Schizosaccharomyces pombe: one gene and its partners. The gene in region 2 interacts genetically with the main gene of each other region. Each region holds a gene or a part of one and is shown on either strand. Other genes may lie near its edges.

What was found.
Region 1: of pub1 (region 2) and tsc1, changing one suppresses a phenotype caused by changing the other (phenotypic suppression), as found in Schizosaccharomyces pombe (one study listed by BioGRID).
Region 3: of pub1 (region 2) and nhe1, a mutation in one rescues a mutant of the other (synthetic rescue), as found in Schizosaccharomyces pombe (one study listed by BioGRID).

Annotation. Positions count from the first base shown.
Region 1 is NC_003424.3:673,458-680,246, reverse strand, and holds tsc1 (Rheb GAP, hamartin Tsc1), read left to right. Parts: upstream 1-1,987; 5' UTR 1,988-2,008; coding exon 2,009-4,708; 3' UTR 4,709-4,926; downstream 4,927-6,789. Other genes in the region: G-protein-signaling regulator Rgs1, read right to left, coding at 1-71; THO complex subunit Tho2, read right to left, coding at 4,927-6,789. UniProt on the Schizosaccharomyces pombe protein: Together with tsc2, required for uptake of various amino acids from the environment and for proper conjugation. Involved in induction of gene expression of permeases and genes required for meiosis upon nitrogen starvation.
Region 2 is NC_003424.3:3,961,205-3,966,698, forward strand, and holds pub1 (HECT-type ubiquitin-protein ligase E3 Pub1), read left to right. Parts: upstream 1-1,861; 5' UTR 1,862-2,118; coding exon 2,119-2,135; intron 2,136-2,186; coding exon 2,187-2,209; intron 2,210-2,260; coding exon 2,261-2,405; intron 2,406-2,547; coding exon 2,548-4,666; 3' UTR 4,667-4,968; downstream 4,969-5,494. Other genes in the region: protein Mtl2, read left to right, coding at 1-304. UniProt on the Schizosaccharomyces pombe protein: E3 ubiquitin-protein ligase which accepts ubiquitin from an E2 ubiquitin-conjugating enzyme in the form of a thioester and then directly transfers the ubiquitin to targeted substrates. Regulates ubiquitination of cdc25.
Region 3 is NC_003424.3:50,014-54,384, forward strand, and holds nhe1 (plasma membrane/prospore membrane sodium ion/proton antiporter Nhe1/Sod2), read left to right. Parts: upstream 1-1,975; 5' UTR 1,976-2,103; coding exon 2,104-2,227; exon of another isoform or gene 2,228-2,304; coding exon 2,305-3,587; 3' UTR 3,588-3,845; downstream 3,846-4,371. UniProt on the Schizosaccharomyces pombe protein: Sodium export from cell, takes up external protons in exchange for internal sodium ions. Involved in regulation of pH.

The sequences.
Region 1 (6,789 bases), 3.3 Mb from region 2:
TTTCCGTTGCGATAAGACGTAACAGCTTCATAACTGGGCGGTGGTGAAGAAGGGTTATGAAGGGCGGGCATCCAAAGCTGATTCTTACTTTTACGAATTTGTAGCCTTTTATCATAAATAATAAAGTGATGAACAAAAGAATTGTGATCTTGCTAAGCGAAAAAGCGACAGAGATCGGGCAGCCAAGCACAATGGAGTGTTAAATATTGTTTCTTTTATTTTTTTAAAAGATAAAAGAGAAGTACAGAACTCAAATAAGATAAAAGAAATTTAAATATATAGTAATAGTCCCACTTTCTTGATTACCGTCAATTTTTATAATCAATTACGGGTAATTCGATACTAAATCAGGTCTCCAGCTGTTTTCAATAGGTCTGATCCCTATTAAATTTAAAATCGAATGAAGGATTGGAGCAATTTTGTAAACGTCGATATAGGCACACTGATGAAAATTCGGGAAATGCCTTAGTATTTATACTTCGAAGTTTCCCATCTAACCATTGCTATACGCTTTCTTTTAAACAAAGAAATCATTAAATGGCGAACAATGGGAACTTTAACGGAACAAAGAACATTGTGCAATTGATTTGTTTACCCCAACAAATTAACAGTGAGAAAGCAGAACAAAGAAAACAGGTAGCAATTTCCACCTTTCGTCAACTTATTCCGAAAGGGGTTTTAATGAATCGGTAAATTTCATGTGATAACACCGATTGAATAATAATAAAAAAAGAATCAAAATAAGACATTTAAACAAGGATATGCAGTCGCTTGCCTATTTTTTGAAAGGAAATATTATATAAACTAGTAGAAGGAGATATGCTATGGCTGGATAATTCACAGATGGTTGGTAAATAAAGCTTACCCAGCACTCCTGGAGACTGGGGAAAAACAAAAAGTAAAAGAAGTAAGCAAAAAAGGATTATAAACAGTTACAGATATTTTGATACTTCTTAGTTGTTCACTGCATCTCTCCTGTTAGTTCCATTGGGTACTGAAATGACCCCAAAATATGCAATGAAAATGAAATGGCTTTTGTTATGAAACTTTACATCGCCAACTTGGAAGACTTTAAGATATAAATTAAAAAATATTGGTGTTTGTAATTATTTACAAGCACCGGCTTTCCCTTTTCCATGACTATATTCTTTTCTACTTTGCGCCTTGCAACGCTTCTTACACCTGCCCTATAAAAGTTTTTTTTTATTAATGAAATATTTTCTCTCTAAGTGACTGTAACACACTGTGGAATAACATAGCAGTTAAGAGTATGTCGTTAAAAGTGCTTGAATATGTTACCATAATATTAGACCGACTCAAATTATTTGCCCTCTAACTTCCTTTGAAAGAAAAGTTCCCTAGGAATCCTTAATAGTAAAACCGTTTTCTTTTTATTTTTACATGTTTATTCAGAGAACTCTCAATGTGTTTTCGCATTGTTTGCTTTCGTATTTCCTCTGTGCTGAAAATGCGAACACTGCCTACTATACTGTATAGTCCTAGAAATCAATACTTAATACATTCTTTAAATTTTGGAGATGGATCAAGTACCATGGTATAGATGATGTTTACATAATTTGGATAAAAATTACAACTTACTTTACTACTTATGATTCCTTCAAATAAAGCTTGTTTAAAACAACGTTCCTCAATTCAATTTTTAGCTATATAAGTGTAATTATAAATACTTCTTGGTATTCTTAACGAGTATTTTAGGATATTTATAACTATTTACAATAAATTTATTATACTATGTACATTACACTAAAAAATATCATTGCAGTACTATCGTATCTTAAAAACGAATTACGACCTGTATGGTTGACATGTAATCTAGTTAAAGGATTTTTGGATAGCGCTGTATAATTTGGTTGAAAATGCAAAGACTAATTAAAAAAATGTGGCAGACTACGCTATCCTCGTTACGTTTATCAATGCTGCCAAGACTTGCTATCAGTATAATGTCGCATAGTTGTATATCAACGTTGACTTTGCCAACTTTGTACGAATGCCGCTGCAATCGCTAGTCAAAGCATTATGGAACGTCCTTCATGAAGAAGAATCGGAAGGCTATCCCGATTTGACTGAGTTAATTGCGGAAGTTGAGTCGTATCAGCAGCGTTATCCCAAACAAAACCCCACTAACTCACAAAAAATAAGACACATCTTGGACGAGATCTACGAAAAGACGCCGTTCAATAATACAAGGCGACGGATACTATGGCTAGCTGTGTTGAAAACGGTTATACCGTTGTTGATTTTGGATCGCCAAGCAGTTGGTGAATGGTGGGACCAGATCTTTTTTCCTTTCTTGAATTCTCCTACCCAATTGAAACCGGTATTTAGTGACTTGAAAAGTATTTTATTTTACATTTTAATTTTTCACGACGAGGATGAATGGGGTGGAGACTTGAGACGGGAGTGCGCTGAGGAAACTATCACTCGTTTGGTTGACCTTTACGTTTCTAAAGCTATCGAAAATCTAGGTGACGTGGAATCTCAAGAGCAAAGGAATCAAACTATTGAATGCTTGGTTAATGTTCTCGTCCATTATGGGATACAGAGACCAAAGGAACTTTCTTCTTGTTTTTGTCATCATTTTTTAAATCCTCCAACCCGAATCCCTATTTTATCAGTTATGGTTGAAGTAATACGGCGGCAAGGTCCTCGTTTATATGAAATACCACAGACTGGCTTCTATGACCTTGTTTTAAAATGTGCGGAATTTGATACTTCACCAATCTTACTGTCGTATGCATTATCTTTCATCCTTATGATACTGTCTCACATTTGTAACTCCTTAGACGATTCCTTATATAGATTGTTCTGTATCTATCTTCGATTTTCAATGATTGACCCGACCTCTGGCTTCCCATCGTCTACTGCGTCTGGTAATTGGGAGGTGTTTCACGATTTTATGTCAACGTATGCCTCAACTACCACCTCTCAAACAGATAGCTCTTACAATGATGTTCATGATATTGTTGGTTCTTCTCAACCAGATTATCTCGAAAGTCTTGACTACTCTCAACTTTTCTCAATTTTGTACGCTCTGTACCCTATAAACTTTTTAGAGTTTCTTCGGGATCCTAAGTTGTATGCTTCTAAACATAATTTCCAAATACGTTATTCCTTTAATCAAGAACTCCTCTCCACAAAGTCGGATGGTCTTCTCGGTAGACATTTGGCACATTCTAATTTTCTTAAATATACAGCAGAAACAGAACTTACCGATAAATCCCGTTGGACAAGACTTGATTCTATTGCTGTAGTGGCCCTATGTAATAGTCTTAACGCTGTTGGAATAGCCGAAAGTGTTATGGATCCTTTTGGTGGTAAGCTTCCCACCACTTATGAAGAGACAAGTTCAGCTACTGGATTATTGGCCTATCCAAATGAAAGCCATGATATTGCTTCTGAGCCTTTTTCCATATCTTGGCCTCAAAATCCATCAATATCGGGTTCTGTTCATTCCGCGACTACATTTGACAAAGCCCAATTATCAAATACTGAAGATTCTTATGATAATATTTCGCATGGTACATCATATAGTGAAGGTGTTTCCTCAATTCACATGGTTAAAGGTGAACGCGGCTCAAATAATTTGGAACTGACTAGTGAAAGTTTGAGCAGCACGAACGATACAATTCGACGCTTACAAAGGGATCTGCTATTTCTTCAGAATGAGCTCCGTTTTGAAAAATTTGTTCGTCAGCAGCACTTGCAAAATATTGGAAAGCTTCATCGTGAGCACATACTAGATATGGCTGTGGAATCAGAAAGGCAAAAATTGCTTTTAACCAACAAAAGATATAAAGCTCAGATAGAGTTACTGAATTCTGAAATTGACAAACATCGCTCAGAATCACAGGCAGCTCTAAATCGTAGGGTTAAGTGGGAAAATGATTTTAACAACAAAATAAAAGCGTTACGAGAAGAAAAGAAAGCTTGGAAAAGTGAAGAATCAGAACTCAAATCATCAATTGAATCATTAATCTCGCAATTGGAATCAATACGAAATTCTCAAATTGACATTGCGTTTTCAAAAAATCAACTGGAGTTGAAGCTTCAACTCTATGAAACTAAGTTGAAAGAATATGAACAGCATTTGAGCTGCGTTAATATCTCCAAAAAGCAAGTCTCTTCGAGCTCTGATACTTCTTTTGGAAATACGAAGATGGACAGTAGTATGATTCTCTCTAACAGTGAAGCTGTTAGTGATGAGCAAGAAAGAGAGTTGATCGAGTCAGAAAAACATCGAATGAAACTGGAATCAGAAAACTTGCATCTTCAAGCTAATATTGAGCTACTGAAAAAGGACCTGGAAGCCATTAATGTTGTTTACGAGGCTAAGATTTTTGATTTGGAAAAACGACTTTCATCTGAAGCGAACGCACCTGAGTTGCATAATCCTGTCAACTTAAATTACGACGCTCAGTTGTCTAAAATATCCGAAATAAAAGAAAATTACGATGAGCTATTAACGCGGTACCGTGAGTTGGAGGGCAAGTTTTTAGAATCACAAGCTGAGGTCGAAGAATTAAAAAACTTTCAAAAACCGCTTGTTGATACTGGAAGCTCAATACACAGTAGCCCTGGTTTGCAACAAAGCAAGTTCATAATTCGTAATGACTCTTTGCATCCTAAAGTTGGCCCGCCACGTAGACAGTCTACTGATACAAGTCGTTCTACGTTTCGCCAATACTAAGTAGGTATATTTTTGAAGGTCCTTGAAATGAACTGGTCAATTATGATAAAACATACTTGCTCATTCCATATAAAATAATTAGATTACGATTTTTCACGACCATCATAATTCTGTGTATGAATCTCCTTATATAAAGATTTTTCATTATTTCCTTGTAATTACAAATTTAGTTAGATAAGAAAAAAAAGCTGACATCTAGTTAAAGCTTGAAACGTGGATCATTGAATTTTTCTTCTTTTCTCTTCTCGAGCAGATCGAGATGTTCTATCCCGTGGACGATCTCTTTGCTGTCGTGAATCCCGATCCCTTCGGTCGTCTTGCCTGGCCCTACGACGAGAATTTTCTCTTTCATCTTCCTCTCGTAGGTTGCTCGGGCTTTGACTATCCGAAGATCGGGGACGTTTATTTGAAGCATAATGAGTGCTACGACGACCATCTGCATCTCTGGAATCATTTCCCCTATTAGATCCATTACTTCTTCCAGCCCGACTAATAGCATTATTCTGCCGAGAATTACTCTCGCCAGAAATATCTTGCCTTTTGTTTTTATCTTTCCCTTCTGTAACCTCATCACGTTTATTATCGTTGCTTGTCCTATGATTAGCTTCAGACGAGCGCTCTCTTGAAACATTAGTGCTATTGTTATTAGACACTCGAGGGTTGCGATTTACGTTTCCATTTTGGCGCCATCTGTCAGATTTCTGTGATTCATGTTCACGCCTAGCATTTAGGTTTTGTGCTTGCTGAGGCTCGCGTCGAGTATGACGAGACACGCTCCTTAAATTATCGTTGTTTTCATTTGTAAAACTTCTTGATTGAGGTGTTCGGTCTCTAGACTGATCCTCTCGCAATTTACTGTCTGATCTTTGTATATCCTCATTCGTAGGGGTGCGTGTTCGTAAAGCACGTCTGTTTCCTTCAGGAGTTGTTTTTCTACGTCTTTCTTCTTGTTTTCTTTCATTAGCTGAGCTTCTAGCTTCAACCCTTTTCTCTACTGCCTTGTTCTCAACAAGATTTTTATTGTCAGTTTCAGAAGCAACTGCGTCGGAAGGCGTACTATCAGGTACAAACTCTGGTGCACTAGGATTCAAAGCTACTTTCTGTTTATCAATCTTTGCCTGTTCTTCCGATATGGAAGCAGTTTTGGAATCAACTGCTGATGTAGCTGCCACTGAAAGTTGTTGCGGTCTCTGAAGCTTTTCTGAATTACTCGGCCTTACAGTACCAGAAAATGAATTAAAAGAAACCCATTCTGGTTGCTTTTTTGAGAGCTTTGCAAAATACCCCAAAGCCAAAACCTTTAAATCTTCTCGTTTTTCTTCGTCCTTTAATCGTTCAGCGGCTCGTTTCAAAGCACTGCCACTTTCAATTATCAATGGGAAACATGGCAAAATTTTTTCCAAGATTATGACACTATTGTAGATATGCATATATTCAGTAGATAGTAAGCATGACTCAAAATAAGATGTTAGATATTTGTGCCATTTACTAAATAGCAAAACAAATTTGTTATAAGGAAGGACAGCGGAAAGATCGGGATCATTTTGTTCGTCAGACCAATATAACCTGAACCCAGGCAAAGCACCATTTGCCAAACATTCGCGTTCGTAAAGAATTTTGTCCCTGTACCAGCTAGTAATATCATAGAGTACTTCGTATAAAAATCTTCCAAAATTATCAGCCTCTCGTTGTGTCATTGAAAAAATAAATGAAGGCAATTGTGAATTAAACAAAATTTCTAAAAATGACATAGTTGAAAAGTTTGGTGTTCCAAGACTGTGCAAAAGCTTTACAAACTTTGCGCAGTACAAAGCATCATGTGGGCTCATTTTTAAACGGGGAGCAATGCAGAGTGTCCACAAATACCGAGCACAGTTGAATCTAGCATGCTCAAGTCTTGTACCATTAGGAAAAACACCATTTGGAATAAACCATTTCACGCAGTCACCTTGCAAAACTTTTCTTACACTCTCAAGTGAATTAATGTGTTCTTTAAGTTCATTCTGTAAGCTGTTAGACAATTGCATTATTTTTTGTCGGTCGTGTCGATGTCGTGAATAAAATGTGTTAGCGGCGTCAGT
Region 2 (5,494 bases):
TGCCGCTGGAGCTGCGGCCGAAGCTGCAGAACACAGTGGTTCTGGTTCAGATTCCTATCCAGAAGGTCCTTTAGCTACGATTCCTGAAAGTGACAGTGAAAGCATGGCTAGTGATTTAGCTGGAGAATCCTCTTACGGCTCGAGGGCAGCTCTGTCTAGTCGATCTCAAAGCAATCTTCTTTCCCCAACAAGCACTGGTGCTTCTAACCAGCCCAATTATTCACCTTTTGCTGACAACCCATCAAGTAGCAACGTTTCTATTCCTCGGTCGTCATCGGAAGCTCGCAGGTTGAACCTGTTTTAAAGTATGCGCTTAAACACTTGTTGCGATAGATTTAAGCAAAAATTATTTGTTTACAATTTCTGGATATATCCGTCGCTTAAAATAAATGCGTTAGTTACGCTTGCCTTCAATTGATGGTAGAAAGTCTTGCGAAGAAAAGCTTGCTCATCACTTTTTCGTATAACAACTTTTTCTTTATTCGGCTTTTACCTTTGTTTTTTACGAAAATCTTAAGTAATCGATCTTTTCAATCTTATTGCTATCTCTTTGTTTTACCGTTACTCACTCATTTCCTTTTTGCTTGAACAGTTTTATGGTATTAGAAATTCACATTCTCATTGCAAAGCTTTGTTATTATTATGGGTTTCGCTTATACCATCTCATACAATCAATTGGTCCGTCGGTTTACTTTCTTTAAAAAAGGAGTTATTTAGCAAACTATTTATCCTTCTTTCAAACTTTCTTTTTAAACTTAACTATTTGCTTTTTCTCATGGCCCTCTTTTTTTAAGAAAATTTCGTTGCTTGCATTTCATTCAAAGTCTTAAATATGTCATCTGGTTCCTTAACTTATTGCTTTTAAATCGACTTCATCTTTTGACTGACTTTTGAATTTTTCTTTCAATTGTTTCACTGTAGTGAGATACAACCCTTAAAAAAGTCTCTTTGGTTTGTTTATTCTTATCCTTTTCTCATTTGCATTTCATTACTTATCAATCATTTCTGTTTCATTCGCCGTTTCGCTTTGTTTTTTCATTTGTACATTTCTTTACAGAATGGCGAATTCTTGTCAAATGCGACGGAAAGCCAATTTTCCTGAATAGTGTAAAACGAAATGAAACTTTTAACAGCTACCTGTTTTCCATCCCATGGTTTCTTGTTATTGAAAGTGGATAGCAAATAGTCTTTATGACCAGCCATTTCAATTTTACTTTCAGTCGCCTAACCAATCTCGTTATCTCATTTCTTTGAAATAAATGTACATACTGTACTTTTTCCTTTTCTTTTCCTTCCGTTCCTTTTTCACCGTCTCGTATATGTAATGGAGCGTCACGTTCCCTTCGCTGCACTTATCGCTCTTACTCTTTCGTCATGTTGAGGACCATCTAGCTCTACTTTCTCTCGTGTGGCTGGATGTTTACTTAACTTTGTTTTGGCCAGCATGCTCGACTACTGATAATTAAAAAATAAAAATTTTGAGCATTGTCTGTTTAAGAGTTGTTGCTAAGTTCTGGCTTTATTACTTTTATTCGCGGCACTCCGTTTGCCTTCTTGTATGTACCTTTTACAATTCTTCGTTTCCTCTCTTTCTTCTCAGTTCTAACTATCACTTGAACGCAAAGTGGTTAGATATACATTTTCCTCATTCTTTCGTATTAAATCAATTTATTAAATGCTTATAGCTTGCAAATCATACATTGTGCTGCATGATATTTACTTTCGTAGTTAACACGTAAAACGTATTTTCTGTACGCCAAAAAAGATAAAGAACAATTTGGTAATCGCGTTGTATATATATAAGGAAATGGGTTATAATGCGTTAAGGATCTAATCTGCAAGACCGATTAATTCTCCTTTCAGCCAACACCACGCGAAATCCGACGGATTTCAAAATTGTGCGCTGAAAGCACGAATTTGATTAAGGATTCCTTTTGTAGTTCTTTTTTATTTATTTCGTTCCCGAAAAAAGCGTTTTTGTATCAAATAGAAAGGATAAAACGGCCTTAATTGAAAGTTTTTTTTGCAAGCACAAATACTTGACTTTCTTTGGGAAATTGGCTTTTTTTTATTATCCAAAAGCAACGCTGGTTTGAAATTTTACCATCTTTTCCCCCTATGTCAAACTCAGCTCAGTAAGTAGTTCTTTAACTGCTATAAACACATTTGCTAACTTTTATGATTAGATCTCGTCGAATTCGAGTAACAAGTATGTGATGACATTATTCAAATGCCCTGTGCAAACGCTGACCCAAAATAGTTGTTGCTGCTGATGGCCTTTACAAACGAGATGTGTTTCGTTTTCCTGACCCGTTTGCGGTACTAACAGTGGATGGTGAGCAAACACATACCACAACTGCTATCAAAAAGACGTTAAACCCTTATTGGAATGAGACTTTTGAAGTGTAAGTGTATATCCCAGGTTTTGACCTTTCCAAGTAACTTTTATGTATATCAATTTTAGTTGGGGTTTCTTCCAGTTTATCCCTTATAATTTAGCTAATGTTAACTTTTTGATTAAAAACAATGTTTCTAACAATTCTTTAGTAATGTTACAGATAATAGCACCATTGCGATTCAGGTGTTCGATCAGAAAAAATTTAAGAAAAAAGGCCAAGGCTTTCTAGGAGTGATAAATCTTCGTGTTGGAGATGTGCTCGATCTCGCCATTGGAGGTGATGAAATGTTGACCCGCGATTTGAAAAAGTCAAATGAGAATACAGTAGTTCATGGCAAGATAATCATAAACTTATCAACGACTGCGCAGTCAACCTTACAGGTTCCATCCAGTGCAGCATCAGGTGCACGTACCCAACGTACTAGCATTACCAATGACCCGCAAAGCTCACAAAGTAGCAGTGTGTCTCGTAACCCTGCTTCCTCTCGTGCTGGTTCACCTACCCGCGACAACGCACCTGCTGCTTCCCCTGCTAGTTCAGAACCTCGCACATTTAGTTCATTTGAAGATCAATATGGGCGCCTTCCTCCTGGATGGGAAAGACGTACCGATAATCTTGGCCGAACTTATTATGTAGATCATAATACAAGAAGCACAACGTGGATTCGCCCCAACCTAAGTTCTGTTGCCGGAGCAGCCGCAGCCGAATTGCATAGTAGTGCATCGTCTGCGAATGTTACCGAAGGTGTTCAACCTTCCTCTAGCAATGCAGCTCGTCGTACAGAAGCTAGTGTTTTGACCTCTAACGCTACTACTGCTGGTTCAGGAGAGCTTCCACCGGGATGGGAGCAAAGGTATACACCAGAGGGTCGACCCTACTTTGTGGATCATAATACGCGAACTACTACTTGGGTGGATCCGCGCCGTCAACAGTACATTCGTTCCTATGGCGGTCCTAATAATGCTACTATTCAGCAACAACCTGTCTCTCAACTTGGTCCTTTGCCAAGTGGTTGGGAAATGCGTCTTACCAATACTGCTCGTGTATATTTTGTTGATCACAATACCAAGACTACCACTTGGGATGATCCTCGTTTACCTTCGTCGTTAGATCAAAACGTTCCTCAATACAAACGTGATTTCCGTAGAAAGTTGATTTATTTCCTTTCGCAACCAGCTTTGCATCCTTTGCCAGGGCAGTGCCACATTAAAGTGCGTAGAAATCATATCTTTGAAGATTCGTATGCGGAAATTATGAGACAATCTGCAACCGATTTGAAAAAACGTTTGATGATTAAGTTTGATGGTGAAGATGGTTTGGATTACGGTGGATTATCCCGTGAATACTTCTTTTTGTTATCACATGAAATGTTCAACCCCTTTTATTGTTTATTTGAATACTCTTCGGTTGATAATTATACGCTTCAAATTAATCCTCATTCTGGCATTAATCCAGAGCATTTGAACTATTTCAAGTTCATAGGCCGAGTCATTGGTCTCGCAATTTTCCATCGTCGGTTTGTTGATGCCTTTTTCGTTGTTTCTTTTTACAAAATGATTTTACAAAAGAAGGTGACGTTACAGGATATGGAAAGTATGGATGCAGAGTATTATCGAAGTTTAGTCTGGATTTTGGACAACGATATAACCGGTGTTCTTGATTTGACCTTTAGTGTCGAAGACAATTGTTTTGGCGAGGTTGTTACGATTGATTTGAAGCCGAATGGTCGAAACATTGAAGTTACAGAAGAGAATAAACGCGAATATGTTGATTTGGTGACTGTATGGCGCATTCAAAAACGTATAGAAGAGCAGTTTAATGCATTTCATGAAGGTTTTAGTGAGCTCATACCACAGGAACTGATTAACGTGTTTGACGAGAGAGAATTGGAGTTGTTGATTGGAGGCATTTCCGAAATTGACATGGAGGATTGGAAGAAGCATACGGATTATCGTTCATACAGTGAAAATGACCAGATTATTAAATGGTTTTGGGAACTTATGGATGAATGGAGTAATGAAAAGAAATCCAGACTTTTACAATTTACCACTGGTACTAGCCGAATTCCTGTCAACGGGTTCAAAGATTTGCAAGGAAGTGATGGCCCCCGTAAGTTTACTATTGAAAAAGCTGGTGAACCCAATAAACTTCCCAAGGCCCACACCTGTTTCAATCGACTTGATCTTCCTCCTTATACTTCGAAAAAAGATTTGGATCATAAATTGTCCATAGCTGTTGAAGAGACGATTGGTTTTGGTCAGGAGTAAAATGGATAGCTAGCTATTGATTACTTTTGATATTTGAACTATTGGTGTTTAACAGTGAAAAAGAATTTCTGTGTAAAGTTTCCGAAATTATTTTTTTTTTCTCATTTGAGTGAAAATACTTGGATCATCATGTTCTACCTTTGTGTTCTCTACTACCATTTTCCTTCTTCTTTTTATACTTGTTTGCAAACACATTTCCTCTTAATGCTCTTCGCACAAAACATATAAGTTAATTTACTATTATTAAGTTACGTACTGCATAAGTGATTTTATATTTATGAAATTACCGCCCTTTTTCAACATTTTATTTGAAACTGTGAGTAAATAGGTAGTTAGTTGGTAAGGTTTTTGTATCCTGTCCAGGTCGTTGCTTATGTGGTAGTTACCTGGTCACCGTAGTAAATAGATGACATGAAAAGTTTACCCACAACTATAGGCTTTATTGAATGAAAAGGGCTTATTAAGAAAACAATAGCCGCTTCAATACATGTGTAATCAGACCGCAGAGCTATGACAGTGAAGTTGTGTTTATTATCGTAAACATTTATCATTTGTTAGTAATAAGTTGAATGCTTATACATTGGTCAAAATTCAGTAATATCGAATTCGATAACTATGAAATCTCGTGCAAATATTTATTTTTTGGATGTGTGAACCTATAGTAAATAGTATAAATTCTTATAGCGAGTTAAAAAACAGTATAAACCTTGATATTAGAGTAGAAGGTGAAATATCGTGATACAACTACAAAAAGTATTCTTTTAAAGAGGTTAAAATGTCATTGGATAAGGTAACAGAATAAGGTTCGTAAATTGCTACCTTTAAGGA
Region 3 (4,371 bases), 3.9 Mb from region 2:
TAATTATTTTTGTTGGAGATAAATAGTATAATAGTGCGCGGTTTCGCAAGTGCAGATTTAATTTCGCTGCTCGTTTATGACCTTTTTTATTTTCAAGTAACATTTTGACATATGCAGATAAACTTTAGTTGTCTATACATGCGTCAGTTGGCCAAGTTACTCATCCGCGATACTTCAGCGTGATTTGTTACACAATAAGAGTAAAATTGTAGAGTAGAATTCGTATTTTCCTATTTATTTATATCTATTTTATCGGTCATTTTATCTACTCGCTTTTTTTTTAATATCATATTTTTAGCAATGCCATTTACAGCTTTTTTTCACCGCCAAGATAAGTCTTGTATTCAAACAGCGTTGCTTATCGAAGCTCCTACTTTTTGAATGCTGAAATGCAGTACAAACGTTCAGTAATAGTACCAAATAAATCTTTGTACGTTGGATACTCTAGTACTGTACCATCAGGCTACGTTACCAAATGATGAATGTGCATTCAGAAATATTATAGCCACGATGCTAAGCTCGTACTTTAGGTGAAAGACATGTTTCATTAAACATATCAGGCCCTCTTCACTATCGAAATTCTTATGTCTTTGGACCAATTGATAAGGTTTACAATCCTGTATCATTAGGTACAGTGGGTTAACTAGCTAGTGTACTAGATGACATGCAATCAACAGCGCTTTTAAAGAAATATTTAAAAATGACATTTCTTTATTACTATAAAAAAATAAAAAGAATTGTATAAAGTCTCGGTTGTTATCCTCTTAAATTAATTAGCTCAATGGCAGATATTACAATATACGAAAAATTCAGTGACCAATCTGTTGGGTACGATTAGGGCTGACCTCATCAAATTATAGTCTCGTTTGTTCAAGCTAAGTAAAAAATTAGGCTTGCTTTACAGCGAAAATAATATATATTCATATATAACAACGGTTTATTGTTTAAAGGCTAGAAGTAATGAAAATCGTCTTTTATAAAAGTCTAAATAGTATGAAATTTGATATTAAGTAAGCGAGTGGCCTTAAACGCTCTATATTCTGGATCTGCAACTCATGGGGTGAGACTCGGTTGTGTCTATGTAACTAACCTTGCCACCACATTGTGCATGAAAGCAAATGATTCATTTAAACGTAAAGTGTTTCTCGTTTTATTTGACATGAAAGGAGCTCTTGAATTCTTCCTAAGTTGTTCATGAGGAGAAATTGTCCACTGAAAAAGAACAAGTTCAAACATTCGCTCATGACTTTTCTCCTGCCCGTAATCGAAATACCAAATTCCTTCTGTGTTCGGTAGTCAATACCTTGGCCGTTATCTCATCAATTAACAAGTTTCCCCCACCAATGTGATTATAGGCCTGGCAATTCCTTTGACAGAACGTGTCAACTGGATATTTGTGTAATTTCGTCGTTCTCGTTAATCCCATACAGTTTTTCATTGCTAATTTAACTCTACATATGGTTGAATTACAAGAGTGCTTGTTTTATGCTCACTACTTCCTTTTTTAAGTAGTATAAAAGATTGACTTCTGTTACACTAGTAATCAAATCCTATAGAAAGAATTTTCAATATTTTTGATTTATTGCCACTTATGTCATATTGAGATAAAATGCCTTAATCCAATCAGGTCTTTTTAGCTAAGTTATAATCAAAGCTTTTTGCTGCCGAGGTATTAATAGCTTACAAGTGAGTACACAACACCCTTTCAATCAATTTAATGGTGCTAAATTTATATAAACATACGATGTATAACAATCGCACAATATTTACAATTCACTATCCTGCTAAAATTGTATAAAAAAAAATAATATAACAGCCCACCTCAAATGTGCTTAATCAGTCTCAGTGAATTTAAAATTGAATAGTTACTTAAAAGGCATGTTTTTTAAGTTGATAAGCGTTAAAACCCAAGTAACAAGCTTTGTTACTCCAATCAAAAAGATAACTAAGGTACCCCGGTCCTCAAGTATAAACCACAGGCATGCACGCATCAGTCCGTGGCTAACTGTATCTTTTGCCACATTTTATGTCGAATACTCTAAAAAAAATATTATAGGAATTTATTACAAGAAAACATTCTCTTGTGGATATTGCCTAATTACTATGGGCTGGAGACAACTTGATATAGACAAAGTCCATTTAGCTTTAATAGTGGCCGGGGGATTTATAACATTTTTCTGCTATTTTTCAGAAGTTTTTCGAAAAAAATTACTAGTTGGAGAAGCTGGTACGTTGAAGATATTGTATAGGGTGGTTTTTGAAAATTAGCAATTGATATAAAATAAGACTAATACTAGTGTGTAGTTCTTGGAAGTATCACTGGATTAATATTTGGGCCTCATGCTGCTAAACTCGTAGACCCTTTTTCCTGGGGTGACCATGGAGATTACTTGACAGTAGAGATTTGTAGAATCGTACTTGATGTGCGTGTGTTTGCTTCTGCAATAGAACTCCCCGGTGCATATTTTCAACATAATTTTCGAAGCATCATTGTAATGCTATTACCAGTTATGGCTTACGGGTGGTTAGTTACAGCTGGATTTGCATATGCATTGTTTCCACAAATTAACTTTTTAGGATCTTTGCTGATCGCAGGATGTATAACTTCTACTGATCCTGTTCTATCAGCATTGATTGTAGGAGAAGGTCCATTAGCTAAAAAGACTCCTGAACGGATTCGGTCTTTATTGATCGCTGAGTCTGGATGTAATGATGGAATGGCGGTTCCTTTTTTCTATTTTGCTATCAAACTTCTTACTGTTAAGCCATCGAGGAATGCAGGGAGGGATTGGGTGCTGCTTGTTGTGTTGTATGAATGTGCATTTGGTATATTTTTTGGGTGTGTAATAGGGTATCTTTTATCGTTCATTTTAAAGCACGCTCAGAAATACCGTTTAATTGATGCTATTAGTTATTATTCCCTTCCGCTAGCGATACCTTTATTATGTTCTGGGATAGGAACTATTATTGGAGTTGATGACCTGTTGATGTCCTTTTTTGCTGGAATATTATTTAACTGGAATGATTTATTTTCCAAAAATATATCTGCTTGTTCTGTACCTGCTTTTATTGATCAGACTTTTAGTTTACTATTTTTTACCTATTATGGTACAATCATTCCCTGGAATAATTTTAATTGGTCTGTTGAAGGCTTGCCTGTTTGGCGTTTAATTGTCTTTAGCATATTGACTCTAGTTTGTCGTCGATTACCGGTTGTATTTTCGGTGAAGCCTTTAGTTCCGGACATTAAGACATGGAAAGAAGCCCTTTTCGTTGGACATTTCGGACCAATAGGGGTTTGCGCAGTTTATATGGCATTTCTTGCAAAATTACTGTTGTCCCCGGATGAAATTGAAAAGAGTATTTATGAATCAACTACAGTATTTTCAACACTTAATGAAATAATTTGGCCGATCATTTCGTTTGTTATCTTATCCTCAATCATTGTTCATGGTTTCAGTATCCATGTATTAGTGATTTGGGGAAAGTTAAAAAGTCTGTATTTAAATCGAAAAGTCACCAAGTCCGATTCCGATTTGGAGTTACAAGTAATAGGGGTTGATAAGTCACAGGAAGATTACGTTTAGGAAAGCTCTTTTAATGTCAATTCGGATTTCCAAATTATTTTCAAATGTATTGTGAATCGCTGTCTCTGGTCAAAAAGATTACTGCACTCATATTTTGAAATTCCTTCTATAGTTGATATATACTATAAGATAAGTGATTCTCAGAATCACAAGGCTAACCACCAACAGGGATGGAGTGTATATTTTTGTTGTACATATATATTATCTACAATAGAGTAATTTTCGGCTTCTATAATTCATTTATTTTCTTACTACTCTAAAAATATTGTATAATTTCTAAAACTGATCAAGATACTGAGAAAAGTACAAATCGTTATTTAATTTGTAATTTATTTTGATGGCTAAAACTTACCAATATTCGTTCGCTTCAAACAATACCAATCTTACGAAACACCTTACGCTTCATCAAAGTCTACTTTGGATCACCTAATATTTTATTATTTGTTGTTGTAATTATACAAACTAATACTATTTTATGTAAGAAACTAAGAAAACGGAAAATCAATAGCTACTTTGTGTATATAAATAGCAATCAAATTAAAACTTGATAAATCTCACCTACTAAAACACATCAACGTACTTCAAAGGGCCTAACTACTATAAGACTTGGTAATATTTAAATAGTGTTTCTATTAGTAGGTAGCTTCAAAGTATGTATAAAGCTTTTGGAAGTAGATGAAGTATTGAATATCTCCTCCTAGATCAGTTATTAACTAAGTACGACTGAACCGGTGCTCCCAATTTAGTTGCAATCTATTTAGATGAGCTAGAATATAATTACACA